Diceros bicornis minor: one gene and its partners. The protein of the gene in region 2 purifies or fractionates together with the protein of the main gene of each other region. This does not show direct contact. Links are inferred from orthologs where the notes say so. Each region holds a gene or a part of one and is shown on either strand. Other genes may lie near its edges. The genes, in order: EAPP, SNRPE, U2SURP and CLNS1A.

What was found.
Region 1: the proteins of SNRPE (region 2) and EAPP purify together in Homo sapiens (affinity purification with mass spectrometry; 3 studies listed by BioGRID and IntAct, counting the BioPlex papers as one, with this or other methods). This does not show direct contact. The link is inferred for Diceros bicornis minor from reciprocal best matches to the Homo sapiens genes SNRPE and EAPP.
Region 3: the proteins of SNRPE (region 2) and U2SURP purify together in Homo sapiens (co-immunoprecipitation; 3 studies listed by BioGRID and IntAct, counting the BioPlex papers as one, with this or other methods). This does not show direct contact. The link is inferred for Diceros bicornis minor from reciprocal best matches to the Homo sapiens genes SNRPE and U2SURP.
Region 4: the proteins of SNRPE (region 2) and CLNS1A purify together in Homo sapiens (affinity purification with mass spectrometry; 5 studies listed by BioGRID and IntAct, counting the BioPlex papers as one, with this or other methods). This does not show direct contact. The link is inferred for Diceros bicornis minor from reciprocal best matches to the Homo sapiens genes SNRPE and CLNS1A.

What each region holds. Positions count from the first base shown.
Region 1 is NC_080744.1:14,754,511-14,761,439, reverse strand, and holds the start of EAPP (E2F-associated phosphoprotein), read right to left. Parts: upstream 3,016-6,929; 5' UTR 2,925-3,015; coding exon 2,851-2,924; intron 1-2,850. UniProt on the Homo sapiens protein: May play an important role in the fine-tuning of both major E2F1 activities, the regulation of the cell-cycle and the induction of apoptosis. Promotes S-phase entry, and inhibits p14(ARP) expression.
Region 2 is NC_080743.1:101,799,434-101,806,721, reverse strand, and holds the start of SNRPE (small nuclear ribonucleoprotein E), read left to right. Parts: upstream 1-4,288; 5' UTR 4,289-4,338; coding exon 4,339-4,392; intron 4,393-4,773; coding exon 4,774-4,800; intron 4,801-5,883; coding exon 5,884-5,946; intron 5,947-6,838; coding exon 6,839-6,917; intron 6,918-7,288. UniProt on the Homo sapiens protein: Plays a role in pre-mRNA splicing as a core component of the spliceosomal U1, U2, U4 and U5 small nuclear ribonucleoproteins (snRNPs), the building blocks of the spliceosome.
Region 3 is NC_080741.1:10,942,033-10,949,909, forward strand, and holds the start of U2SURP (U2 snRNP-associated SURP motif-containing protein), read right to left. Parts: upstream 3,011-7,877; 5' UTR 2,902-3,010; coding exon 2,857-2,901; intron 1-2,856.
Region 4 is NC_080746.1:53,769,097-53,776,719, reverse strand, and holds the start of CLNS1A (methylosome subunit pICln), read right to left. Parts: upstream 3,017-7,623; 5' UTR 2,965-3,016; coding exon 2,840-2,964; intron 2,538-2,839; exon of another isoform or gene 2,503-2,537; coding exon of another isoform or gene 2,477-2,502; intron 1-2,476. UniProt on the Homo sapiens protein: Involved in both the assembly of spliceosomal snRNPs and the methylation of Sm proteins.

The DNA of each region.
Region 1 (6,929 bases), on a different chromosome or scaffold from region 2:
AGAGGTCAATGCTGCCAAGGTTGAGATTTATCCAGTTTATTGATTTAGCCAATATGCTAGTGTTCCAAAGTGTGGAATGTAGATTATTTTAAGGAGTGGCAGGCAGACAGCCCACTAAGTAACAATGAAGCCATTGCTAGTGGGAATATAAAATGGTACAGCCACTATGGAAAACAGCTTGGCAGTTTCTTATAAAACGAAACAGGCAACTACCACACAACACAGCAATCACACACCTGGGCATTTATCCCAGAGAAATGAAAACTTAAATTCACACAAAAACCTATACATGAATGTTTATAGCAGCTTTATTCACAATAGTCAAAATTGGAAACAACCAGATGTCCTTCAATGAATGAATGGTTAAACAAATACAGAATACTGTTCAGCAATAAAAAAGGAATGAACTATTGATACCTTCAACAATGTGGATGAATCTCCAGAGAATTATGCCGAGTGAAAAAAGCCAATCCCACAAGGTTATATACTGTATGATTCTATTTATATAATATTCTTGAAAATGACAAAATTGTAGAAATGGAGAATAGATTAGTGGTTACCAGAGGTTAAGGAGGGCACAGGGGCGGACAATGGTAATATGAGGAACCCTTATGGTGATGGAGATGTTCTGTGTCTTGACTGTATCAATGTCAGTATCCCAGCTGTGATATGTACTGTACTTCTGCAGTATGTTAACACTGGGGGAAACTGGGTAAAGGGAACAGAGAATCTCTGCATTATTTCTTACAACTGCATGTGAACCCACCTCAAAATAAAAAGTTTAACTAAAAAAAAATTGAATCACATGGCAAGAGAGTTATACTTTTCTCAAATTTTCTTCAATCCTTGTGATTATTTCAACAGAAATCTCAGCACTTAGCACCGCTGGGCGAAGCAATACATCACGGGCCCTGCACATTCCTGTTGAGTATGCCAAGAATGCAAGGTTCTGATCACTCTTCACCCAGGCCTGCGTTTGCAGTGAACAACCTTGAGGGATGAGGCAATGTCTCTTTCCAAGACAGAGAGCAGGCTTATTTACTGCCTGCTGTAAAAGAGGTGGATTCTCCAAGCTCAAGTGGTCCTGAGCCTCGATGCCAACCCACTGAATGTGTAGCATCCATCTGGGCCTCTCCGGGTAACCCCTGTAAGACTTGGGAACTAACAGCGAGCAACACAAACATGATGCTCATGCTGCTTGCTGTGCTGTGAGTTGTCTCTGACCCACGAGTCTCATGTCTTCTGCCAGCTTCCATGAAACAGTAACAGGCTATAAAATATTAGCTTATAAGTAGGGTAAAATCAAATGCTGACCGACATCTCTTAAACATCTCTCTAACACCAATCTCCCTTTTCAAAACAACAAGCATTTGATTTAGAGCCTTGAGCAGGCAACATTAATAACAGTTTTGTTTTCGTAGTCTTTTTTTAACAGCTTTTCTTTTCTTTTTTCTTCTTTTGAGAAAGAGTGGCCCTGAGCTAACATCTGTTGCCCATCTTCCTCTTTTCTTCTTTTTTTCCCTCCCCAAAGCCCCCAGTACATAACTGTATATTCTAGTTATAGGTCCTTCTAGTTCTTCTATGTGGGACGCTGCCTCAGCAAGGCTTGATGAGCAGTGAGTAGGTCCACTCCCAGGATCCAAGCCAGGAAACCCTAGGACGCCGAAGCAGAATGCGTGAACTTAACCGCTGCACCCCCCAGCCAGCCCTCACAGCATTTATTTTTATAGTTACCTTACCAGTGACAACCGTCACAGGATTATAAAGCTTCCTCAAAGAAACTTAACTACAAAAATGTAAACTGATTTAAAGAAAAATATTAAATAAATAATAACCCGGGTGACTATGGAGATGGTAAGTGGGGGAATAACTCAAGTCCAGGAAACACGGCTATATTCCAAGAGGCCTACATATACCTCCTTTACAGACGGGACTCATTAACTGAAACGCTTTTTCACAGGGTATCCTGGAACCCATCCTCACTTCCCACCACAGAAATCTCCACAGCAGTTTGCTCTCTCATGCCTACAACCCTCCCCAGGATAGTATGAGGAAACATTGTGGCTAAAGGAAGGACAGTTTCACAGAAAGCTTAGTCGGATAGAATATTTTAAAGTTTATGAATAGAATCTGCTGACAACTTAAAAAATGGCTTAATTTGCCTGCAAATTTCTTGCCAACATAATCCCAAGTTTCCCCCAGGTAGGATTAATCCCTCCCTTCTGGAAATTCCCATGGAACTTCATCTGTGCCTATCTCAGGTCATAGTTTTCTACAACACTCTTCTGAGATACATGCTTATTTCCGAAACATATACCTTATTTCCCCTACTGTACTGGAAACCTGTAAAAGACAAATATCTTAGGACTGACCTCTGTAGCCCAGAGCAAGCATTTAACAGGTGCTCAGAAAACGTCTGTTAAATAGTCCCTTATTTCTGTTTACGGCAGTTTAGTCTTCAAGATGGTCACTTCACATTAAGTCCCGTAACCTCACAACATACTTCCGATATAGTTATTATATTTCCTCTTTACAGATGAGAAATCGAGGATAACTGACTTGCCTTCAGTCACACTGCTAGTAAGCTGCAGAGGCAGGATTCGATCTCACGGCTTTTGAAGACAAACGCAGAATTCCAGAATATCCCTCTTCCCCAAGCGGGTGTCAGCCCCGCCTCCCCCGTGGCTGCGCGACCTCACCAGAAGCCCCCTCGGCGTCCCACAGGGGACAGCGGGGCGCGACAACCGCCGGGCCGAGGGTCCACACGAGCGCGGCAGGCGCAGGGAGGGGAGGAGACTAAGGCCTGGCCTCGGCCCGAAGCCTCGGGGCAAGAACGGGGCAGGGGCCCACCTGCTCAAAGCCGGCTCCTCGTCGCTAGGCTCTTCAATTGCGTAGGGGTCATAGTCATCTTGGAGCCGGTTCATGATGGCCTGCGCCCTCCGACACGGTCTACAGGCGTCGGCAAAGCATCTGTTTACGCCGCAGGTCCCTTCCCTAAAGCGTTCCGGACTCCACCTCCGACCGCACTTCACTTCCGACCGCACTTCACTTCCGACCGCACTTCACTTCCGCCCGCACTTCCGCGCCCTCCCTGCGCGCCTGCGCAGATCGTCCCAACGAGGGGGCGGGGAGAGGGGGCGGGTCCCCGTGTCTCGACACTGCCCTCCGAGGCTTCTGCTCACCTGGAAACGGCTACCCTATTACCGGAAATAGTAATTGGCACCTTCGTAAATGGCAGTCTCTGAGATGAACGCTCCAAGTGCATTGTCTCCCGCCGTGACGTGAAGAAGCAGAAATCTAGATGCTGAGAGACATGCAGCCTGAAGTCCGGGCCAGTGGGTCCCCAGACACTAGCACCCGATGTCCCTCCAACCTCCTCGCCTCAAGCTTTTCTTTTTTTGTCACTGCGCGGCTGCCTCGGGCTCACCCTGTTCTCCTCAGTCTGACTTCAGCCCCAACTGTCTACCGGAAAGTTGCTAGGTTGCCACCAGTTACTTCCTAATTGCATTTTCTTGGCCTCTCCTCAGTCCCAACCTTTGCTCAGCCTTTATCCGATTCCACTCGATACTCGAGGTGAAGCCGATGACAGCTTCCCGATTGTGAGACCGTTTCCTCCCCTGTTTCTGTATTGGCCTACACTCAAGTTCCTGCCTCCTTCCGGACAATTCTTCCCTCTGCATGATCCCAATCAGGTGACTGCCCCGTCTTATGTGGTCCTTGCCTTCTCCTCCGGTACCAGGTTGGATTTCCAATCGCCTGGCTAGGTAACTCCGCCTGCTGCACCACCGGCAATTCAAAGTCAACGTAGCCCAGACCACACTCACCATCTTCCACCCCGTTCCTATATCTCAGCCAATAACTACTTTTGACTTCTGATTTCTGCGTATGTCACTTCCTCCATCCTTACAACTGCCATAGGCTGAAAGTCTTGGAATCTTGGTTGACTCCTTCTCTGTCCCTCCATGAGCCCTCAATTCCCAAGTCCTGTAGATCTCTTAGCAATACCTCTCTCACCCACCTCCCATCTCCCCACCCCTCACTTTGACTATTGATACAGGCTCCTAACTGACAGCCTTACTTTGCTTTTGTTCCCTCTGCAATCCATGCTACTCTCTACTGGCAGAGTAACGCTCTTCCAGCACAGCTTTTGCTCTGGATGACTTCCTTCCTAAAATGTCCCAATATTTCACCTTCGCTGGCTGATCTGTTCGCCTTATTCTGCAATATTCTTGGCCCTCCACAATATAGTTCAATGCATCATGCCATCCCTACAGATATCCAGCACAATTTGCTGATTCGAGAATATGCGTTATGCCTTCCACCACTAGGCTTTTGCTTATGCTATTCCCTGAAGCACTCTCTGCTACTTTTTTTTTTTTTTTTGGTGAGGAAGATTAGCCCCGAGCTAACATCTGTTGCCAATCCTCCTCTTTTTGCTGAGGAAGATTGGCCCTGGGCTAACAACCGTGCCCATCTTCCTCTACTTTATATGTGGGACGCCTACCACAGCATGGCTTGATAAGTGGTGCATAGGTCTGCACCCGGGATCCGAATCTGTGGACCCTGGGCCGCCAAAGCGGAGTGTGCAAACCCAACCACTATGCCACCTGGCCAGCCCCCCCACCCTCTCCTACTTCTAATTCCACCATCCAAACCCTACCTCAAGATCCTTCTGCAAGCAATGGATGGGTCAATAAATATATAGAATGACCCTTTAGGATACCTTTCAGCCATGAGATGCCATAGTTCTGGGAACTCACACTGTACCTTTTCTATGATGCCTTTTCAGATTCTCTCTCTACATGGGATCTTTCTCTGCTTTGAACTCTTGTAGGATAAGGTACCACTCACACGTGCCATGTGTTTCTCTGGTTTTCAACTATTGTTCCACCCAACTCTTTTGAGAGGTACAGTACTCTTCCATGAGTCACAGTGATGTGAAGGGGACACCTGTTGGGGAATCCATTTTTCCTTTTCTGGGAATTGTGGCCCTCCTCAGGGATATGCCCTTATATCCATAATCATTCTGCTCCATGAAAGTTGGGCCATTACTTACCTACTTACTCCCATAAACTTAAAAGTAAGAGTTACAGATTCTAAAGAGTTGGCTGTGGTCCTAGGACTTGTAACAGGACAAGTAAACTCAGGAGCTGAGGCTGCCATTTTAGGATGGCTGTTTAGGGGTTATATGTGTTGATGATGAGCAAGCAAAGAAAAGCACAAGTGTGTAACAGAGAGAAGCAGAGAGCTTTCCCTGACCCCCTTATCAAAAACTTTAAGCCCGCAACCCCAACCCCTTCTCTCCATCCCATCTTCTCTATCCTTTAATCCACATTTTTCCCCTTCTGATTCATGTTACTTGTTTGCTTATTTCTTTCTTCCTGTTCCATTTCTCTATTGCTGCACAAAAACACCACCCCAAAATTTAAGAGCTTTGAAACAAAAACAATCATCTAATTTCATCACAAATCTGCAGTTTTGGCAGGGATTACTCTGGGGTCTCAGTTTAGGACTGAAACTGCTGGGGACTCACTGAGCATCTCTCTTTTCATGCATCCTTCTCCACAAAGCCTTGGGCTTCCGTACAATATGGCAGCCCCAGAGTAGTCAGCCTTCTTAGATAGCAGCTCAAGTCTGGCGGAGAGGGTTCCCAGAGACCCAGATGGAAGCTACAAGGCTTCTTCTGACCTAGCCTCAGAATTCTCTGAACATCACTTCTGCCACATTCTATTGGTCAAGCTAGTCACTAAGTCCAGATTCCAGGGGAGGAGACAGACTCCACCCCTCAATGGGCAGAGTAGCAGAGATAGAAAAGTTGTGTTTACTGTCTAAAAAATTGTGTTGGCCTCACTATCTAAAAACAAAAGGAGACATGAACAGATTAAATGGAATATTTCAGATATCATGAACTTACTGTAAAACATAACAGTATATTTACAAATTTTTTAAGTGTTTTAAAATACTTTTCTAGGGGCTGGCCCCGTAGCTTGGCGGTTAAGTGCTCCCGCTCTGCTACTGGCAGCCTGGGTTCGGATCCCGGGCGCTCACTGACGCACCGCTTCTCCGGCCATGCTGTGGCCGCAACTAGAAGGATGCAACTATGACATACAACTATCTACTGGGGCTTTGGGGAAAAAGAGGAGGAGGATTGGCAATAGATGTTAGCTCAGAGCAGGTCTTCCTCAGCAAAAAGAGGAAGATTAGCATGGATGTTAGCTCAGGGCTGATCTTCCTCAAAAAAAATAAATAAAATAAAATACTTTTCTATTTACTAGTATTATATACTTAACTCCACCACTGCACAATTTGCACAGTGGATGAAATTTGTACTTTGCCCTGGTTTTCTTTCTTCAAGCTTAGAACCTTGACTTTTTTTTCCTTTAGATTTCCCTAGGTTTAGTTGTTGTGTATGTTGAGGCAGTTCATGTGATGTAGTTTATGACAGGCTTACTGAGGATGGCGCCATGGGAAAACGATCCCTGTGGAGTTGCTTGGGGAAATATCAGTACTTAGATGTTTAATGGGGGGGGGCTGCCCTCATAATAATCGTGTCCAGGGAGAATGAGTTCGGTCGGCCGGGCAAGGACAAAATGCGCTGAAACTTCCTTTTTGCTGAAAGGAAGGCGAGACCAGACCCGAGCCCTGACCCGCCCCCAGGGGGCCCTCAGCTGCCGGGCGCCGGCGCCGCGAGATCCGGTCTTCCCGGGCGTCCCCTCCAGGTCCCGGACTCGTCGGGTCTCCGGTGGGGATTCGTAGGTCCCGTATCCCCGAGCGGGAGACGGGACGCAGCGGACGTCACGACAGGGGCGTGGCGTATGCAGATGACCGTGCGCGCAGAGGCTGCTGGTCCCGCTTGGCCGGGCCGCGGCGTCCTGCGTGTGGAGATCCGAACGCCGCCAGGGTCGTGGTCCGGGTGGGCGTGGTGGGAG
Region 2 (7,288 bases):
GAAAGAAAAGCAAAATGGATGGTGTGTATGGTTATTGAGGTCACTGATTTGGGTTGGGAGCTCAAGGATGGTGGTCAAGAAAAAGCTGTGAGGAGAAGCCATTGGCATAGCAGCCACAAAATATTTTGGACTCTCATCCCTTGAAGAGGCTCAGATTAGAACATCATGAATTCTAACCATCATTAAACACTACTGGCTACGAGAGAGATGGGTTTAAGGCAAACCCTGCCCTTGAAATACTTAGAAAACATTTTTAAGAGAAAACTAACAAAAATGAAGTAGGTGCAAGTATTAAGTGGATGGTGCTATAGAAGGAATGAGTGAGCAATCAGTGAGTTTGAGACTGGTTAGGGAAGGATTCCTTGAGGTGTCAGAGCTGGAGTTTTGTGTAGCTTAGCAAAGGAGATAATCTGAGCTGCAAACAAGGCCAAATTGAACAGATAAAGTTTGTTTTTAATGACCTCTGACCATCCCATTGGTACTCCCTCCGGGTCTCTGCCTTGTCTCATTCTTGCTCTCAACTATTCGTGGCTGAGGTATAACTGATCTTTTAAAAAAGAAAGAAGGATCTATTCTAAATGCAAATCTGAATCACTTTGCTTCGTAAGACTCTCCAGTGCCGTTCCCTTCCCTCCAAAATTAAATTCAAGACCCTTAGCATAGCATGTAAGCCCTGCCTACCAGCCTCCTGTCTGGCCACTGACGCTTCATGCTCTTCACTCCAGCAAAACTACTGGCTGTTGACTTCCCTCATACGCTAATCTCTAGCCCTTTGCCTTTGTTAATGCTGTCTTCTACCTAAAAATCTCTTTCTTTTCCTCTTTTCTTTTGGCTAACTCCTACACATTCTGTGACTTCCAAGCTACCTCTCCCTACACCCTGCAATCCCTCTCCTCAAACAGGTTTGGTGCCTGTCAGCTAGGCATGTAATTTCTGTTTACTCTCATTGTTTGAAAATTGTTTATCTGTCCATCTTCCTCAGCAGAGTATCAACTCCTTGAGACAGAGACTCTTACTAAGTTATATAGTCAGCACCTAGTACAGGCCTGGCACATGGAAGGTGTATGAGTCTGCTAGGGCTGCCATAACAAAATACCACAGATTGGGTGGCTTAAACAACAGAAACTTAGTTTCCTACAGTTCTGGTGGCTAGAAGTCCAAGATCCAGGTGTTGGCAAGTTTGGTTTCTTTTGAGGCCTCTCTGGCTTGCAGATGGCTGCCTTCTCAATATCCTCAAATGGTCTTTCCTCTGCATGCATGTATCTGTGTTTTAATCTTCTATAAGGATACCAATCACCTTGGATTAGGGTCCACCCATATGACCTCATTTAACCTTAATTACCTCTTTAAGGGCGTATCTCCAAATACAGTCACATTCTAAGGTACTGGGGGGTTAGAGCTTCAACATATGAGTTTGGGGGGGTACAATTCAGCCCATAACACAAGGTATTCAATAAACATTTGCTGAGTGAATGAAAAAGTTCTTGACCCATTTCAGGGGCTGCTGATCTTTGCTACACTGCCCCTGTCTTCCCAGCCCCATTCTTTGGTGTGCTTCTAATCAATCACAGCCATTCAGCAAGTTGTGAGGCTTCTGGATGAGACGGAAGGAACTTCAAGCTGAAAGGAAGGATGTTCTTCAATATTTGGGAGGTCTGGAGGTGACTCTTATCGCAGGGTGTACCTCTTTGGACCAGTGATTCTCCAGCCTATTTTGCAGAGACCTTGGGAGTGTCATGAAAATCTCAAATTTTACAAGAACATTATGATTAGTTGCAATAAAAAAAGGAAACAAATATTTCATAGTACTTTCCACTATTTCATGAATTTATTCAATTGGTGCTATATTCATCCACATTTCAAAATTCAAAATGTACATGAGGCTTTAGTAAAAATCCTCCCTCCTACTCCTGCCCCAGCTACTGAGTTCTCCAAAACCAATGTTGTTAGTTTCTCAGGGATTCTTCCAGAGATACTTCAGGCATATATAAGCAAGTATACTTCCATACAATATCATGTATAAAACACATGATATTCTGCACCTTTTTTATTATGAATAGTTTTAAATTATGAATTACAAATTTACGACAAATCCTGTTTCATCTAAACCCACACCAACTGTCCATCCCCTACTCTGGGCCCCATGGCTGGGACCAGGGTGAGGTAAGCCAGATGCCTGAGCACAATTTAAGGAGGTGCTCACTCGGGGTTGTACTTGCACATGTGAGTGTGATTCCTCAAATTTTGCTCCTTAGGCTTGCCCCATCCCCTGCTGGCTCCACTGGATTATTTGGAAGTAAATCTCAGATGCATCACAGCTTGTTTTTTCTTACTATATATTGGATATCATATCAGGAGACAAAGAGCTTCTTAATCTTGATTATAGTTGCATAGTATTACACTATATGAATATGCAGTAATTGAGCCAGTCCCTGTTGATAGACATTTAGGTTGTTTCCTGTCTTGGTATTTTAAACAATGCTGCGATGATTACATTATGTCACACATGTAAGTTTATCTGTAGGATTAAATACCTAGAAGTGGAGTTTAATAATTTACATTACCACCACTTTTTGATCTTTGCCAACCTAATGGGGGAAAATGGTTTCTCAGCATAGTGTAGTTTGCATTTCTCTTTTAATGAGAGCAGTTGGGCATCTTTTTGTATGTTTGAGGACTATTTTATTTCCTTTGCTATAAACTGATTGTTCACAACCATTGCCAATTTTTATTTTCAGTCTTTATGTCAGATTAAAAATATATCATGTACTTAGATTAAAAAAACTAACCTAAGTTGTTCTAGAGTTTAATGTAATCACAGTAAAAATACCAAAAGTTTTTTAAATTAGATAAACTAATTCTAAAGTTTGTAAGAAAAATAAGAATAGCTAGGAAAATTCTACCTACTTCTAGTCCTACCAAATAAGAAAACTAATTATAAAGATACAATACTGTACTCATAACAGTGATACTGGTCCACAGACACAAAGATCAATTGAACAAAATATAAACTATGTACATACACATACACTGGTATATTATAAACGTGGAATTTTAAATTGAATGGGGAACAATGGGTTATTTTTTTGTAATGGTGACGGACAACTGGGTAGCCATCTAGAAATCATAAAGTTGTATCAGTTCTAGGATACATTGGGATCAATTCTGGATGGATCAAAGATTTAAATTTAAAAGATTAAATTTAAAATCATTAAAAAAAAAAGCAAATCACTTCTCATGAGTTGTATATATGACCTATCAGTCAAATGATTGGTTATAGGGATCAATCCCCAAAAGTTTAGGAATCACGACTTCAGAAACAGACAGGAAAACGCAAAAACGAGTAGCAAGGTCTTCACACCTGCGATGGGCTGGGCAGGGCAGTGTGCGATCCGAGCTGTCTGAACCCTGCACATCTCCAGTTCACTCTGGCCCCACACTCTCCACTGGGTTTGGGGCGGGGGACTTTTTTTGAGAAATAATTACTCCACTGTCTCCTAGCTCTTCATAGGTTAAAAATCACGTTCGTACGCTTTGACCTCAACCCCTTCACGAGGTCGGCATCCCTCTTTCCTCACTGAACGTCCGCCCCTCCTCTAAGGGGCGCCCTGAGCCAGGGCCTCAGCTCTGAGCGAGCGTCTTCATCCATGAAACGCGGGTTCCAGCTGACCAGGACCCCGCCTCCCGCCGGCCCCCGGACGCGGTGTGCGGACCACGCACGCGCGCTCCCGCTGCCCCGACTCGCCCGGGGCGAGTGTCCGCCCGTCTGGGGACAGCTGGGCTGAGGCCGGCGGGCCGAGGGACCCGCCCGTGTCCTCCCGGTCGGGGCGGGTGGAGCCCGGAGTCAGGGTCCGGGCCCCCACGCACACGGCCGCGCCCCTCGTCCCCCCACCTCACGGGGCCCACGACGGCGCAGCCACGGCGTCCGCCTCCGGACAGTGCCAGGTGCGCCCCGAGCCCGCCGCCCGCCCCTCCGCACCACAGCGCGGCCGTCACCTTCGGTTCCAGGCGGACAGGCCTAGGAAAGCACAAACCAACCCATTCCACAGGCGGAGGGCCGCCTGGGCCGCCTACCTCTCTCGGCCGACTCAAACCGAGCCGCCGCCTCCAGGTGGCGCTGTAGGACCGGCCCACGTTCCAAAGCGCCATTCCCCTCAGTCGGGCCTCCCCCGGATGCTGTAGAGCACCGAGAAAAGCGAGCCCCCCGGCTAGAGAGGCATTTCCCAGGAGCCTCCCCGGTCGCCGCGCGGGGACCATACACTTGCTTTTCCGGTTCCTTATTCCGGAAGTTGCTCTGAGGCGGCGTGCGCGTTCGTGTGGCCTTTGTCCGCTTTCACCATGGCGTACCGCGGCCAGGGCCAGAAGGTGCAGAAGGTGATGGTGCAGCCCATCGTATCCTCCGCGGACGGCAGGGCTGGGGGGTCGGGCCGGAAAACGGGGCGAAGAGCGGACGGCAGGCCGGAGGGCGCGGGCCGCGGCCACCTCCCGTGAGCCCGCGGGCGGGCGGCCGAGCCGGAGGAGGCGCGGGAGTCGAGCACCGTGCCGGGGGAGCGGGAGCCGCGGGGAGACGGCTGCGGGAGTCCTGGTGAGGGCGGGGGCCGGCGTCCCGCGGAGTGAGAGGGCGCGCCTTCGAGGGCCGGGGGCGGCGCCTGTGTCGTGCAGGCGGCAGAGCTCGCGCTCGGAAGACGACCAGGGGACGGTGGGCTAGGGTTGACTCGCTCAGGGGCCAGAGCCTGTGCTGTGCGTGTACTTCTTCCTTAACCGCGGGTGCAGAACCTCATCTTCAGATACTTGCAAAACGTACGTAAGTCGTTAGTTTCGTAGTTTTCTTTGAGTAAAGAGTGAATTTATTTGGCTGTGTCATTCTGTCTGATCACTGTGTTCTAGAGTTAAAAATAGGTGGAAACTGTGGAGATTGGAGGGGCATTTGAGGGGAAAGGGTACAGGGAAAGCTCTAATGTAGTAAAATGGTGTGTAGCCATGCCAGCTCCAAGCATCAGAGAATCGTGTCATCGTTACTTTGCAAGACCGAGATTACTAATTTCAAAAAGTAATTATTGGCAGACGTGTCAGTGGTATTTGGATATTGGTAGTGGTTATGGCCAGGGCATTGGAACCTTTCCCTCTTCTTTCCCCTAGGGTGAGACGTCGGAAGAAAACTCCAGTCAGCTTTAAACCACGTCATAAGGTGGTGTGTTTAGTACCTGGAGGAAAACTTAAACATAAAAAAGACAGTAAAAAAAGAGAGAGGAGGGATAGATTCAGGCGGTTTAGTGGCAGCCTGCTTTCTTTTGGGAGGATTTTTAGCACCTCAGATTTTGAGTTGGCAGGGCAGAGTGTTTAAATTATTTCTGAGGGAAAATGTAGTTCCTGTTGCTCTTACAAATTTTAGCGTGACAATACAATTGGAAAACATTAATTTCAAGCCATTGTAATTTTTAATCACCAGAATTGAGAGTCCCTCCCTTGATTGTTAGGTGTAAGGCATGGAAAACCAAGAACCTAGAGAAAGCTGTTTTGGAGCTGGATTTTCTTATAGCAGGTGAGAAAGAAGCACTTGGTCATTAGAAATTCCTGCTTTGTGCGATACTGTCACCAACTTTCAATTGAAATGTATTGAGAATAGAAGCAGTAAGAAATGTGATTGAGTTCCAAGATCACAGGGAAATTATTAACTTAGTCCCAATGCAGCATTTATTAAGTGAGAATGTTTTTTGGCAAGTAACTAGTCTTAGTTACCAGTTCTTAGGTATGTGTTAAGTGGTTAAAACTCTTGACTTGAAATTTTTGAAGTTTCTTTAGGAGCCTTGTTTCTCTGTTGTTTGACCAAAGTGATTGGATTATGTTTATTTTTTAACATTTTTATTTTTATGATTATTTCAGAGATCTCGGATTCAGGTGTGGCTTTACGAGCAAGTGAATATGCGGATAGAGGGCTGTATCATTGTGAGTACCCAGGACATTTACTACCCAGTTAGTTCACAGAAAAAGATTTTGCAGAAAAGGCCAGCCAGAGCAATGTACAGAAAGTCCAAGACCCAACCCAAGGAAAGTTTTTTAGGGCCCACTATCCTTGTCTCATTGTTCTACTCATTGTTAGGAATTGGGTAATTCAAAAAAGAGAGGGAAAATTAATTTTTAAAATTAATTTTATTTTAAAAATTTAAAATAATTTTAAAAATTATTTAAACAACAGTGTTAGTATTCAAAGGAGAGGACAAAAGAAATAAAATTGAGGGGGGCGGTGAGGATTAATGGAGTGTTAGTTTTGGGTTAGGTGATACCTCAATAGAGCTTGGTGGGGTTAGTTAAATAAGACTCCCAGGATGGCAGAGTACCCTAAATAATGTTTTAAAGAAGGGTAAAATATGGTTGAAAGTATTATGTTCAGACACTTTGGTTTTCCGTTTAGACTTGTAGATTCCATCAATATAATCTCCCCTTCCCTGTTTACTAGTTGGAAAGCAGGCGTGGTGGTTAGTGGTGTTAGTGTTTTGTGGGGAGCATGGGAAGAACGGTGCAGTAGATGTTAATTCACATATGTAGGCGTGTACTCGACCTTGGGCAGCTTATAAAAGGTAGAGAGAATGGCTCTTTGGCATAACTAATGAGATCTTAGTCCAAAAGGTTACAGAAGTAACTTGGAGTACATGCTGGCTTTCTTTGTTATTTAAGGAGAGGCTTAGGGTGGGAGGTGGTGTTCAGCTGAAAGATCAGTGTAGCGGTGAATTTCTGAAGTTGGTTGGCATTTCTGTACCTCCATAAGTGTGTTCTTGTAGAATGGTTTGGATGTGATCTTACTTGAAGATGACAGTCATCAATTGGCTTATTTTTCTAGGGTTTTGATGAGTATATGAACCTCGTATTAGATGATGCAGAAGAGATTCATTCTAAAACAAAGTCAAGAAAACAACTCGGTAAGAATATAGATGCCTTATAGAATTGTAGAAATTTGTATTCACTGGTACAGTTGAATGACTTGCAACTCAGTTCATGTTTAAATTTAGTTTGTATTTGAGAAGTTATTATTTGGGGGAGTAGTACACACTTGGAATCATGCTCTGCCACTTATTCCTTACCCCACTCCATTTCTCCTGCCTGTCCACTCAGTTCTCACCAAGGTCACCGAAGACTAATGGTGTTTAATGGTCAATATTAGTCCTTATGTTATTGAATTCTAAACAGCATTTGGCACTGTTGGCCACTCCCTCCTTAAAAACTGTTCCCTTGGCATTATGATACTATGCTTAGGTTTTCAGTGTTCATCTCTAGTTACTCCTTTTCAGAC
Region 3 (7,877 bases), on a different chromosome or scaffold from region 2:
GCTCATTCCTAAAGCATTTACTGAATTTCTACATTTGCCAGGCCTTAAAATGAAAAGTACAGCAAAATTACACAGAAAATAAAAGGGCCCGGCCTCTCTTCATCGGGGACAGCTACTCATAAAAGTAAGTCATCTGGCTATAAATACATTAAATGTAATTTTTAAAGCTAGAGGAAACGGTAGAGGTTATCTAATCTATTTTATAATTAAGACACGTCAAATAATATTGCCATTGTCAATGGCAAAAATCTTGTATATTGCACATTTTAAAATTAACACTTTCCTCGGTGTCTAGAAATATGATTAACAAGCATCCCTACCTATATCAATGAGGATTTAATTACCAAAGAAGAAGAATGAACACGAAACAGAAGAATCTGTTCACTCCATCTGTACAGTAGAATATGTCATTCATCTGCTCTCCTCAGAGGAAGGGAAATCAAATCACAGAGATCAAAGGCTAGAAATTCCAAATACTGTAGTATTAGTCAAAATCATCTTAAGACTCTATTCAATAATTTCTGGACCTGTGTTAGAAATAAACAACAATCTGGGCAGTCATTATGATAGTTGATGACTTCGATTCTAAATCTCAAGATTAGAATTTATCCTGATATTTTGAAAAGTACTTTTTATTTCCTCTATAAACAAAAAGGAGAAGGGAAAGAAACTAAGACACTAACTCATTTAATCCTTATAACAATCCTGTAAAAAAGGGATTATATCCATATTATAAATGAGGTAACTGAGGCTCAAGAGTTTAAGCAATTTGCCTTAATATCACAAATATAATTAATTGCCAAGTCAGAACTTGAATCCAAATCTCGTTTGTTATCAAAATCCATAATCTTTCTACTGCATCATGTATCCTCCATATTAATGGAGAAAGTCACGTCAATACCATTTGAGTCCTGAGATATTCTCTTTTTACAGATATCAGTAGGAAATCTCTTTTTTGTGTGTGTGTGAGGAAGATCAGGCATGAGCTAGCATCTGCCATCCTCCTCTTTTTTTTTTGCTGAGGAAGACTGGCCCTGGGCTAACATCCGTGCCCATCTTCCTCCACTTTATATGGGACGCCGCCACAGTATGGCTTGCCAAGCGGTGCGTCGGTGCGCGCCCGGGATCTGAACCAGCGAACCCCGGGCCGCCGCAGCGGAGCACACGCACTTAACCGCTTGCGCCACCGGCCGGCCCAGGAAATCTCTTAATAGCATCAACTGATGATAATCTAAAGCAATATAAACTGAAAAGATTACTGCAAGACCCAACAATTCACTTATAGAGAACAGCCACACACAACCATGAGAAGTACTAAAGAAGGAAGACAACACATATATTAAAAGGTTTTCAATGTATCCAAGGCCTCAAATAGGAGATACTTAAAATATTACTTTGAGAAGAAACAAAAGTTGTGAAGCTTGTGCGTCAATTATTATGGATGTAGTTAGCTTTTGTAATAGTTCCCTAATAGTAAGCAGGGCTGTTTTTGTCATGAGTCTGTTGAGGGGAAGTGGGCAGAGAGAGGTACCCAACTATTCCCCTCCTCCTCAAGGGGAAATGTACTGGGGAGGGAAGAAACTAACAAAGAGCAGACACAGGATGTAAAGCAGCCAAAACTGGCCTTGAACCATAGTTTCTACATAACTAAAGGATGTCTGATAAAGCCATTACTAACTACGAACTAATTATGAATATCATTCACCAAACGGCGTACAAATTATGATTTATTAGAAACTGAAAAAGCAAATATAAAATGAGTTATGTTTCTCAGAACAAACTATAAACGCAAGACTCGCCCCTTCTACGGTAAACTTAACTTCCTAAGAACCGACTTATAATCATACACACTCTTTAAGATGTAACAGTCCCTGTTTAGGTGTCACAAAACTTCCTGCATCTGCATGAAAAAGCTTAACACCTACTTCGGACAGTATCTATTACTTTTAATCTCGTGTTCGAGATGAGAAACAGGGCAAAAAAGGATTAAATGACCCGCCCAAGATAGCAACTAAGACCTGATAGTAACCACAACTAACTAACACTAAACTACTTCTACAGCTCAATGGTTTCACAATACGTGCACACAGTTCCCTGTAAACGCAAAAGCAATTTGCTAATTTTAGGTGGCTTCCAAGTCCACGGAAGTTCTCCTTTCAGTGGAACACGCAACATAGAGACGCAGGAGTCCTCGAAAATGAGCCCTCAAAACAAGAGCCCGCTTTACGCTTGCTCTCAAGCGAGGTGAGACCACGTGGAGAGCACAGTATTAACCTTGGCGATGCAGCACCGCAAAGGAGCGCTGCTCCCGCCTCTGCACTTCCCACCCCGCGTCCCTCCGCCACTGGTCCCTGCCTCTCAACTCGCGGCCCCAGAGGTTATTTATTCCCTGGAGGGCGTGAGGGAAATCGAGAGAGGCCGGAAGCTTGTGAGATCCAAAACCAAAGAACCGAGGACAGACAGACAGACCCATGAGCACCAGGGAGCGATTCCCGCCTCTCCCCGGCGCTGTCCGGCGGCCCCAGGGCGCAATAAGCCGAGACACACGGGCGCGTTTTCACGGCTCCGGGCCTCGATCTAAATCCCCGATTTCACTCCAGTGCCGAGCGCGGGCCGAACTCCTCACGCCACCACCCCACCCCCCGGGCCCGCCGGTCTCGAGCCGAATCCAGGCCGGGACGAAGGGGAGACACCAGGCCTCTCAACCTGCGCACCACCGTGCGGCGGCGCCCCGGCCGACCGCCGCGACCGGAACGCGGACGCCCACCCCAACCTCCTCCCGCTGGCCAGAAGCGTCAGTAGACCCCACACGACAGTGACAGACTCACTGACTTACGAAGTCCTCTAAGAAATTACCTTTGAACTGGCCTTCTGAGATCCGCCTGGCGTTTTGTCCGCCATCTTGCGCTTTGCCCCTCCTTCGGCGGCGACAGCAGCACGGGCGAGTCGAGCGCCGAAAGAGCGGATCTCAGCGGAGCCCGCCGGAGGCGCCTGCAAGGCTGAATAGTCGACTGCGGAGATGAGGGATTCGAGCGGCGCTGCGCCACGTGACTTCCGGGGTCAGTCCTTCCCAGGCCACGCCCACTCCCTTGGTTTCCGTGGGTGTCTCGGTTGTTGGTTCGGTTCCTGGACCCGGGAAGTTAGAGAATGTCGTCGTCCTGACTTTGGGGGGCCGCTGATACTTCACTCTTTTCCCAGCGCCAACTCTTGATGGGGGTGAGCCAGTTTTCTTTCCTGGGCGAGGAGGGAACGGGTCGTTAAAGAAGAAATGCACTGGTCAGCTGGGGGGAAGCTTTTCAACTCCGAAGATAAGTCTGGAGCCAACTGGAGGGTCCGGCTCTCCAGGGACAAAGACGGTGTTTGCGCCGCCTCGGGAGCTCACGCCCTGGTGAAAAGGGCAAACTTGCCATCTGCTCCAGTCACTGTAAGATAGAGTTGTGCCCGGCAAGCGGAGAGGAGTATTTGACTCAGCCTGAGATTCCGGCAGTGGGGAGATCCGATAGACTCTTGTTTGGGGCATCTACAAAATGGGTACCTGCAGAGAGAGGGTGAATGAGAAAATCATAAATAGGTGGCTTTCTAAATCTAGCAAACGCGTAAGTTATGTATCGTTTAAGAATTACGTTTTACAGTTTAGTATTGTTTTCATTTTTAAACACGTAAATGGAGGGGAGCACCGCACACTTTTCTGTACTTAGAACTTTTTTAAAGTTCTTAATAGGATCTGTCTTCAAAGAAGGAAAGCTTACTTGAGAAGGTCATGCCTGAACCGAGCCAGGCAAGGATAATGGAAAGGCATTCCAGGCAGAGGGAGTAGTTGGAATAAAAGCTTGATGGCATGGGTCCGTACAGCCCACTCTGCAGGCACCATAAGCAGTCAGGTTTTATTAGACCAGGTGTAGGGAGGGACGTGGCTGGAGAGGTGGATGGGAGCAAGATCACACGAGCCCTGAGGTTACCAGTGTGCTTATGAGTTAGAACTCAGAGAATGAAGAGTGGCCTTCAACAGGGTTAAGTAGGGCTTTGATGTGGTCAGATTTGAAGTTTTAAAAGGTTGCTCTGGGGACTTGGGGAAGGAAGAAAGAAGAAGGGTTCATAACCTTCTCTCTCTAATTCATTTATTCAAAATATTTTTGAGCCCCATTTTGTGTATAAAAGCCTGCCCAAAGTGTTGAGAGACTTACAGACAAATAAAAACACATTTGATTTAAAATCAATGTGTTTTTAAATCAAATTATTTAATGCAGAATGGGGGAGACAAACAAGGGAAATAACACTATGCAGAATTAAATTGATCCTGCAAGGAAGGATCGATAGCTGTGGGAACTCTGAAGAAGTAATTAATTCTGAGGGTAGGGTTGGGTAATGAGATGGGGGAGGTTTCACAGAGAAGGAAGCATTTGAGCCAACTCTAAAGAAGTAAAATTTTGTCTGTTGGCTGGTGGGAGGGCAGGGAAGGGGAGGTTGGGATGGTGGTGAGGGAAGCACTTAAGCAGGATCTGACACGTGGCAGGCCCTCAGGGAAGATTAATAGTCATATGTGGCAGGCACTGAAGAATCAGCAGGTAGGGGGTCTGTTCTGTGTGAGAGGATGGGGTAGAAGAACACACGATAAGTAAGCAAACAAACAAGAAATGATCAGAAAGTGACAAGTGCTATGCGTTGAAATTAAAATGGAATGATGCTTTGCAACCTCCAGTCCAATTGAATTTGTTTCCAGTCTCAGATCTTGTCACACTTTTTCAATTCTGGGCCTTTTCTCCCACCCTTGTCCTGGCCTCTGAAGGCTAATCAATTTTCTACTCTTGTTGAAGATGTCACTTCCTCCAAGAGGACTTTCAGACCTCCCTACTCCACCAAGCCTAAGTTAGAGACTCTGCTTCTGTTTCCATAGGAACCTATACTTTCCCACTCCGGATGCTCATCACACTGGATCTTAGTTGTCTGTTTACAATCTAGGATTAGAAAGTGAAACCATCAGCTGAGATGAAGGAAGGAGGAGGATTGGCTGTGCCTTGTCCGTGCTAGCAATGCTGCAGGCTGACTGTCACTGTAAAGTGAATATATGCATGCTTTTCATTCAAATCCCTAAAGTCCTACTTCTCATAAAAATACTTTTTACTAAATGTTTACCCCTAAAGAGCTAAAAATAAAGGAACACAGACTTCTTCCCTCTCTTCTTTTTCATACGCTAAAACCCCAAAGGAAGTCAGACAAACGTGACCTGACTACCAGTCATACATAGGGCTTTATTAAGACCTAATTAAATACACTTTTAGAAACTCACAATCAAGGTTATGAGCAGAGTTCTCCTTAATACGTATAAGTCATGAAATCTTGGCCCTATTACTCAAACCAAAAATTAAGGAGGATGAGATAGCATGAATATAGTACAAATGGAATTTTACAGAATCTGAGATTTTTAATTAGATTCACAATAACTATTCCCAAGGGACTACACATAAATAGCAAGAAAATCATACAATTTACCACAGTTAGTTTAACTTTTTTACAATCACACTAAAACCATGCCATTTTTCTCTCCCTGATGTGTTGCTTCTCTAGTCCGCCACATGTCACCAGTTTTTGAGGGTCCTCCCTGCAGCTGTGTTCAGCAGAGATTACCAAGTAGTGCCAGATGCAGACCACAGAGGTATTTTGTTTGACTCAAGCAGGGAAATTTTTTTCTTTGATTTGGCTAGTATTTTAAAATTGAGAGATTTTACTTTTTTATACTCAGGATTTCCAGTTTTTCTTGAAAAATGGGGAAGTCTGGCAACAGTCCAGTGGAGGTGAGTCACAGTGACCTCTCTGGAAGGGCCTTCACCACACACACAGTGGACAAATGCCCCACACCCCGCCTGCTGGGAAGCATTTGAGTTTTCTACATCTCTTGTAGAATTTAAGTCTTACCAGGGGTGATGATCAACACATTGAACAATCAGTCCCCCAGGCACCAAAGAGAACTGCCTTATCCATTAGGAACCGAAGGCTCATTGCCTAGGGCCCACCGTAATTTTAGAGGCCTCCCAAATGTTTTAATTTCTTTTAAAATAAGAGGAAAAAAAGGTGGAGTGAAGAGGCTGAAACAAAAGCAGCATTTAACAATATACACAATGAGAGAGAGAGACCTTAAAAATGATTGCCCAAAGCTAAAATCTCCTGTACTGTGCCAATGGACTGCTCCTACTTGGTGGCACTCTCATTCTAGAGAGTTTTTAAGCAGCTTCTCCCTGCTCTCTAGGCTTCAGGATAGAGGTTGGTGAAAGCACAGTCTCATCCATTTGTTGGTTTGGCAGTTATTGAATTTCTAGCATGTGCCAAGCTCTGAAGAAAGAAGATAAGGAGGGAGGGAGGGAAAGCTAAAAATCAGACTGAGCTCTTCCGCTAAGAGGGATCCTAGCGGCTTCTAGAAATAGGGAACAGCCTTCAAGGAGGGTGTGGTGTGTGTGGAATGGAAGATTCTTTCTAATGAAGTCGATTGCCCGCCCCACACCACCGCACCACGCTAGCCTGACAAGTCATTTTAGTGGCAATAGCAGCTTCTCCCTTTTCTTCCCTCCTCACCAAAACAAAAATACCCGACTTATCTACTGATGATATCTAGAATTCCTTTGACAATAATAATTAGCGGTGGCATTGTTTAAAACTACAAATGCCCAGGAGGTAAAAGATATGTAAAAATGGTGTCAAAAAGCACATAGCCCAAGAATGGGCTGGTGACATGTTGAAAATAATAAAAATTGCTATTTTAGCTATGATCCTGGTTAGAAGATTACCCTTACTATGTAGCAATTATTATATCAACAAGATATTAAAACCTAGGATGGTCCAGATGGAGTATTGTGGAAATGGGTGGTCCTAAATGAGTGTGTGTGTGTGTGTGTGTGTGTGTGTGTGTGTGTATGTGCGTGTGAGACAAAGAAAGACTGAAGATGCCCATGGCAATTGGCAGAGGGCAACATCTCCAAGGGAGTCCCCACATGCCATGGCGTGGCAGTCCAAAGTTGGGCGTGGCTTGGACTACCCAGAGATCAGGCCTCACTTAATCTATGACCTGCCTTCTGCCAGTGGGGAGCCTATGTATCCCCATGAAGATTAAAACTCTTGAGACAAGACCAGATAATATAAAAGGCTAGGTGGAGAATGAAGTTATGACAAGAAAATGAAACAAAACTATTTCTCTTATCAATTTCATTTGGTTGCCAGTAACAGAAGTCCAACTGCAGTGGTCTTAAACACAGAAGGCTTTATTTTGACACGGCTGTCATGGTAATGATAATGTGAAATTTCTGTCAAAAAACATGGCATAGCTTTCTTCTTTTTCAAGTTTTGTTCTCTTTCCTTCACATCGACTTTGCATATTTCTTGTTACCTTAATTCTTAGTTGTTTTCTCTTTTCTGTTGTTACTACAAATAGAATAAGTTTTTCCATTATTTATATCTGTCCTAAGTAATTAGTGTTTTATATTTATTACTATACATTAATGTTATACCCAGCCACCTTGCTGAATTCTTTTATTTGTGTAGTTTTTCAGTTTTTTCTCTTGGAATTTCAGGTATACGATCATATCATTTGCAAATAACTACACGTTTACCTCCTCTTCTCCCATATTTTTTAATATATCTTTTGTTTTTCTCTTGTGTGATAGCATTAGCCAGTACCTCCAAAATAACATTAAGTAAGAGTGGTGCTAATGGATATCCTTGTCTTATTCCTGACTTTAGTGAGAATGCTTTTAGTGTTCTTATGAGGATGTGGCTGACTTTTGGGTTGTAAGTTGAATTACATATTCATTTTTTAGCTAACCATGGAACTGAAAATATAGAATTTTAAATTCTCATAGAAAACTCGGGGACCCTAGTGATATGCCAAA
Region 4 (7,623 bases), on a different chromosome or scaffold from region 2:
AATACGTTCTAACAAATGCATCCTTAGGCTATTTTGTTGTGTGAACATCACAGAGGATACTTACACAGACCTAAATGGTATAGCCTACTACATGCCTAGGCTCTATGGTACCACCATTGTACATCCAGTCCATCATTGACCAAAGCGTCGTTATGTGGTGCATGACTGTACATATATACACAACATCCAAATTCTCACCCTTGCCTCTGAGCATCCCCTCAGCCCCACCTCATTCACCTGGCTAACTGTTAATCCTCATTTGTCACATCCTCTAGGAAGCCTTCCCAGTTTGTTGAGACCTTTATTCTACCAAGTCTTGGAAATGCTAGGTGGGAAAAAACAAAAAGGGGAAAGAGACCAAGGAGGTAATAACGAGTACAGAGGGATCACAGAGGTGTCCAAGGTACTGGTAATATTCTATTCTTAACCCGGATGGTGGATATACAGGTGTTAGTTTAATTACAATTCTTTAAACTTTACATATATAATTGATGTTCTTTTCTATATGTATTTTTTACAAAAATATTCCTTTTTCTTTTTTGCTGAGGAAGATAAGCCCTAAGCTAACATCTGTGCCAATCTTCCTCCACTTTATATGTGGGTTGCCACCTTAGCATGGCTGATGAGTGGTATAGGTCTGTGCCTGGAATCCAAACCCAAAAACCCAGGCCACCAAAGCGGAGCGCACCAAACTTAGCCACTACACCACGGGGCTGGCCCCTCAAAAATATTTTCTCAAGGAAGAAATGTAAGATATTTGTTAGTGAAAAGTTGAAATAAAAATTTTTTTAAAACAAGAATTTAAAAGAGTTTGTACTTCCTCAGTGTGCTAACTGTATTGTGGTTATACAGGAGAATGTCTTTGTTCTTAGGAGATTTTTGCTAAACTATTTACAAGTGAAGTCTGCAACTCTCAAATAGCTCAGGAAAAAAAAGAGATAAATGTGGCAAAATGTTAACAGCTGATGAATCTTTGTGACGGGTCTATGGGTATTAATTAACAACACTTGCAACTTTTCTTTAGGTTTGAAATTTTTCAAAATTAAAAAACAAGTATAGGATTTTACCCAAAAAGGAGTTGTATTATAGAAAGAAGAGCCAATATAGAGAAAAACCATGGAGGAAAAAGGGATTGCAGGATTGTGTAGTGGCTAGTAATATATTTGTGCTTCAATCTCCACCACTTAAAAGAAACTGCTCTCCCAAGATCATTCAAGATCTCATTGTCAATACCCAACATAAGCTTTTCAGATTTTACCTTATTTGACGGTTCCTCCTTCTTCATTTCTCTACTCAAGTCTCTTCTTCCCTAACCTACCTTTTAATGTGGATATGTCTCCAACTTTCTATCCTTAGCCGTCTTCTCTCCTGGGGAATATAATCTATTCCCATGAGTATGCTAACACTTATACTAATGATTTCCAAATCTCTATCTTTAATACCATTCTCCCAAGATACACACTCATATGTCCGACTAATCTACACATGTCCAGACCAAACTCATTATCTGCTCCTCACCTCAAACTTGTTTTTCCTCGCATCCACGTTTCCTATCTCAGTGACTGACCAAAAGCCTAAGCTTTGCTCAATGTCTAGATTTCTCTCTAAATCAAGGATTCCTGGGTAGGCCCCGTGGCTTAGTGGTTAAGTGCACGAGCTCCGCTGCTGGTGGCCCGGGTTCGGATCCCAGGCACGCACCGACACACTGCTTCTCTGGCCACACTGAGGCCGCGTCCCACATACAGCAACTAGAAGGATGTGCAGCTATGACATACAACTATCTACTGGGGCTTTGGGGGGAAAATAAATAAATAAAATCTTAAAAATGAAAAAATAAATCAAGGATTCTTTACATTTTTTTGTGCCCTCTGTGGTAGGCAGAATTTTGGCCCCCATGACCTTCATTCCCTGGTGTTAAGCCTATGAATGTTACATTACATGGCAAAAGGGGCTTTGTGGATTTAATTAAGGTCACTAATCAACTGCCAGTAAAATAGGGAGATTATCTTGGATTATCTGTGTGCGTTCAATGTAATCACATGAGCTCTTAAAAAAAAAATTTTCTCTGGCTGTTGACAAAAGTGATGCAGCAGAAGGGGAAGTCAGATCTGAAGGACAGGAAGGATTCATTGTGTCACTGTTGGCTTGATGATGAATGGAACCATATGTCAAGGAAACAGAGATCTTAGCTCTACAACTGCAACATTTAGGCCATGTCCATCTGACTGTGAAAGTACAAAGTGCTGCAGGTAGACAATAAAAGGGCAATTCCTTCTGCTGAATGGAAATGGGAGTCAGAAATGGGAAATGAGAGTCAGGTTGCTCTGGATATGACCCCAGCCTGCGTGGGGTTGAGGGTGTTCCTCTCCCCACCCACACCTACAGAAGAAAATCTATACTCCTTAACCAAACTTTCAAAATCCTCCACAACCTGCTCTAAGCCTACGTATCCCGCCCAGGGTAACACTTCCCGCACCTGTTCATCGGAGAAGACAGGCACATCGATAACTCCAACTCACGGTCTGGAAGTTCAGAACCTTAAAACAAAAGCTTGAGTAAAGAACAACGCACGCACCAGACCTCCGGTAAACAGGCGGGTAAAAACCATAATCAATGAGAACTCCGTCTGAAGAAGAGAGAAAGGCAGGCTCCGAAGGAGAGGACACTAGAACAATCGAGTTTTCCTCCCAGCAGAGGCATCCCCGAGGCGACACCGAGCACGCGCGCCCCCTCCCAGCAGCCGCGAGGTCGCGGTCTCGCCCCCGCTCCTCCGCACCGCCCGCGCCGGCAGGAGGAAAGCGGCGCGCAGAAGGCCGGCGCTCGGGGACAGGGACCCTACCTCTCAGCGATGTACAGGGTGCCGGTGCCGAGGCCCTTCCCGTTCAGCACAGCCTCGGTATCCGGCTGCTGCTGCCGGAGCCCCTCAGACGACCCGGGCGGGAGGAAACTCTTGAGGAAGCTCATTGCAGCACTGTGCGCCGACACACACGCCAGGAGGTAGCCGAAGCTCAGGAAACCCAGCTCGCTGCGTTCCGCCCCGGAAGTGGTGGCAACTACCCCGGAAGCAACTTGGTCTGCTCCGGAATTTGAGCGCCAGCCACCATAGAGACGAGACCTTCTAGGGCAAGCTTTCGGAGGCCTGAGATGGCCTGGCCCAGTTTGTCACGTGACTCCCCTCCCCTTTGCCATTTCTAAGGCTGCAGGCTTGTAATAATGGAAGGTTCTTCCCGACGTCCTACTTCAGGGTTGTCACAGCAACCCTGTGAGAGAGGAAGCACAAGGAATAATAAACTCCTTTTTCTACAAAAGAGGAAACAGATATCTGAGACATGGAGTCCCTTGCCTGAGGATGCACAGGAAGTAGAGACCACACTCATCTAGAGGTCAGAGGTCTCTTGACTGGGTTGACGGCTCTTCTCACCTGGGCCAGCCTCATCCCGGCCTATTCACGTCTCAGCATAACAGCCATGCCCCAGACATCAGTCTAGGTCCTGACACCGCCCTCGTGCCCGAGCCACGTATCCCCACGTCTCTTGTGGGCAAACGAGCCCAAAGAGGTCAGCTCCGGGTGAAGAGCTGCCTGCGTCAGTAAGAATTAGTCCACCAGATTTGGAACTATTGCTTTATTTCTTCGTTAGGCACTGAAGAGCAAAGTAATAAGAGCAATAAAAACCTAAAAAATAATCATAATAGTAGATAAAGGTAACCGAGTGTTATGTGCCAGGCATTGTTCTAGGCACTTCACCGGCATTATTTCTGCATTTCCTCTTTATGACAACTATATGAGAAAGTTATTATTATTGATGCAGTTTTACAGATGAGAGGTCTGAGGCATTCAACTCAAGACCAAGAGTTTAGCCATGAGAATTCTAGTGGAATTCAAGTTAGTCAGTCTCTCTAGGTGCCACTTGTCTTGTCTGTAAAATCAGTATAATCATATGTGTGCTGTAGGACTGTTGAGGCTGGAAGACTGGACATGTGGAATAGTTTTACTTCTATCTTTTGAATAGTTAGAGGAGTGTTCGATTTTTAAACTGAGATTAGTTTGTTAATAGTGAGACTGGAGCAGGGGCCCTCTGAGTAGAAAGAGTATTAGGAAGTTGTTGCCATAGTATAGATGAGAGAGTGGCAGTAAGGGTGGAAATGGGGACAGATTCTAGACCTATTTCAAAGGCAAACTCCTCTGAATCTGGAGATAGATTGAGGGCAAGATGGTAGTGAAGGTGAAGATCAGTATGAATGAAGAAGAAAGGGAAGTAAAGGATTTCCAGCTTGAGTGATTGAATGGATGCCGGCTCATTTCTCCAACGTGGAGAATTCAGGAGGAATATGATACTTCTGAGCCTATGTAAAGTAGTATTTGTCCAGGGGAGACCTCTTCAGTAAGTCAAGTAGGAAGGGAAAAAGACGGGGGCAGATGCAGAATATTAGTGTGGGAAGATGAGGAAGTTCCTATCAGATGGCCTTTTTATCAGCCAAGTATTGATGCTAATAATGACTGGTATGAATTAAACAGGCATCTGTAAATAAAGGTGCCTTTTGTTCAAGTGTCTAGCTGAACACTGCCCTCAACTCTCAGTCCCGTGTCAGTCCTGGTCTTGGTTATGGGCTTATGACTTGGCTCCTATGGCCCACTGTACTTCCTTCATGCATGACATATGTTACCTTCTAACGTATTCCTGTTCATCTCCCCAAATAGACTGGGAACTCCTCTGGAGCCCTGCATCTCCAATACTTAGCTTATCTGTTACACATGAGGCATTCCAAAATATTTGATAAAAGTGTTCAATAAGTTGAAAAAAGTGTTGAATAAGTTATATAAGTGAAAAAAAATGAATCGAATAATTGTGGATATAATTTATTAAAAGTAAAGGCCTAGGACATTAACAAAAATGGCAGAATAAGGACATCTGAAAATTTACTCCTCCACACAAACTTTGGCAAAAATGGTCAAAATAAGATTTTTACAGAATTATTGAAATTAACCAAATGTAACCAAGGAGCATTTATTCAAGAAAAACAACTGAATCTCAGTAAGACCAGCAAGTTTCATGGCAATTTGACTTACCCTAGTTCCATTCCTCACTCTGCAGATCCACAGGAGACTTGAAAAATCATAATGTTTAAAGAAACTTCTGTCCAATCATTAGTTGACCACTACTAAACCAAGTAGAAACTTTAGTGGCCACACTTCACAAAAACTGCAGACTTTACAACATTAGTTTAGAAGGGTCACAAAACCAACAAGAACAACCACACAGGTGCAACAACAAACAAAATCAGAGGGAGAGAATCTGATTTTCAGAGTTGCTACATTATATTTTTTAAAATGTCCAGTTTTAAACAAAAACTTATGAAGCATGCAAAGAAATTTAAAAAAGTATGACCCATTCACAGAAAAAAAAAGAAAGAAAAGAAAACTGTCACTGAGAAAGCCCAAACATTGAAATTACTGGAGAAAGACTTTAAAACAACTTTCTTAAGCAGGATCAAAGAACTAAAGGAAAACATGGGCAAAGACCTAAAGGAAATCAGGAAAACAATATATGACCAAATGAGAATATTAATAAAGAGACAGAAATTACAAAAAGGAACCAAATGGAAATTCTGGAACTGAAAGGTAGAGTAACTGAAATGAAAAATTCACTAGAGCAGTTCAACAGCAGATTTGAGCAGCAGAAATAAGAATCAGCAAACTTGGAGATTATCTAGTATGAGGAGCAGAAAGCAAAAGGAATGAATAAAAATGACAGAGCCTAAGAAACCCATGGGACACCATCATATGCATAATGGGAATCCTAGAAGGAGAGGAGAGAGAAAAGGGCAGAAAGAATATTTGAAGAAATAGTGGCTGAAAACCTCCCAAATTTGATGAAATACATGAATCTACACTAGCAATTAAGCTCAACAAACTCTTAAGTAGGATAGATAAACTCAAAGAGATCTACATCTAGACTCATGATAGTTAAACTGTCAAAAGCTAAAGGTAAAGAGAACCCTGAAAGTAGCAAGAAGGAAGTGACTCATTACTTATAAGGGATCTTTAATAAGATTAACAGCTGATCAGAAACCATGGAGGCCAGAAGGATGACATATTCACATTCAGTGCTGAAAGAAAAAGAAAATCAAGCAAGAATTCTATATCCTGCAAAATTATCATTCAAAAATGAAAAAGAAATTAAGACATTCCTAGAAAAACTAAAATGGAGAATTCTTTCCTAGTTGACCTGCTCTACACAAAATACTAAAGGTATTTTTTCAGGCTGAAAGAAAAGGACACTAGACAGTAACTTGAATCCACATGAAGAAATAGAGAGAACCAGTGAAAGTAACTATCAAGGTAAATATAAATGGAAGCATAAATACATTTTATTGTCTGTAACCTTTTTTTTCCTTCTATTTGATTTAAAAGACAACTATATAAAGCAATAAGTATAAATCCCTGGTGATGGACACACAATGTATAAAGTTGTAATTTGTACAATGACAGCATAAAGGGGGAGGACAGTGCAATATAGGAAAAAAGTCTTTCTATGCTATTGTAATCATGTATTATTAATTCACACTGCTTTGTTATAAATTAAGATGTTAAATATAATCCTGAGACCAACCACTAAGAAAATAAATAAAAAATATATAATAAAAGAAATGACAAGTGAGTTAAAATGTTACAGTAGAAAAGATACATTTAACACAAAATAAGGCAGTAATATAGGAATAGAGGAACAAAAAGACATGTAGAAAATAGCAAAATAGCAGATGTAAATACTACCTCAGCAGTAATTACATTAAAGACTAATAGATTAAGCTTTACAGTTAAAGGGCAGAGGTTGGCAGAATGAATAAATAACATGACCAAATATATTCTGTCTACAAGAGACATACTTTAGATTCAAAGATATAAATAGGTTAAAAGTAAAAGGATGGAAAAGATAGACCATACAAACAGTAACCAAAAGTGAGCTGGAGTTGGTATACTAATATCCGACAAATAGACTTTCAGACAAAAATTGTTACTAGAGACAAAGAATGACATTATATAATGATAAAAGGGTCAATCCTTTATAAACATATATGCACCTAATAATAGAGCCCCAAAATACATAAAGCAGAAACTGACAGAATGAAGAGAGAAATATGCAATTCAACATTAATAGTTGGAGACTTAAGCTCCACTTTCATTAATTGATAGGACAACTAAGCAGAAGATCAACAAGGAAATAGAAAGTTTGAACAACACTTTAATACTGTAAACCCACTAGACCTGACAGAAATCTATAGAACACTTCACCCAACAAGAGCAGTATACACATTCTTCTTAAGTACATGTGTTAGACCGTGAAACAAGTCTCAATACATTTAGAAGAATTGAAATCATACAAAGTACATTCTCTGACCACAATGGAATGGAATTAGAAATCAATAACAGAAGGAAATTTGTGAAATCTACAAATATATGGACATTAAACAACCTATTCCTAAATAATCAATGGAATCAAAGCAAGAATCAAAAGAGAAATTAGAAAATACTTTGAGAATAATGGAAACAAAAAATACCAAAACTTATGGAATGCAGCTAAAGCATTGCTTAGAGGGAAATATATAGCTGTAGATGACGACATT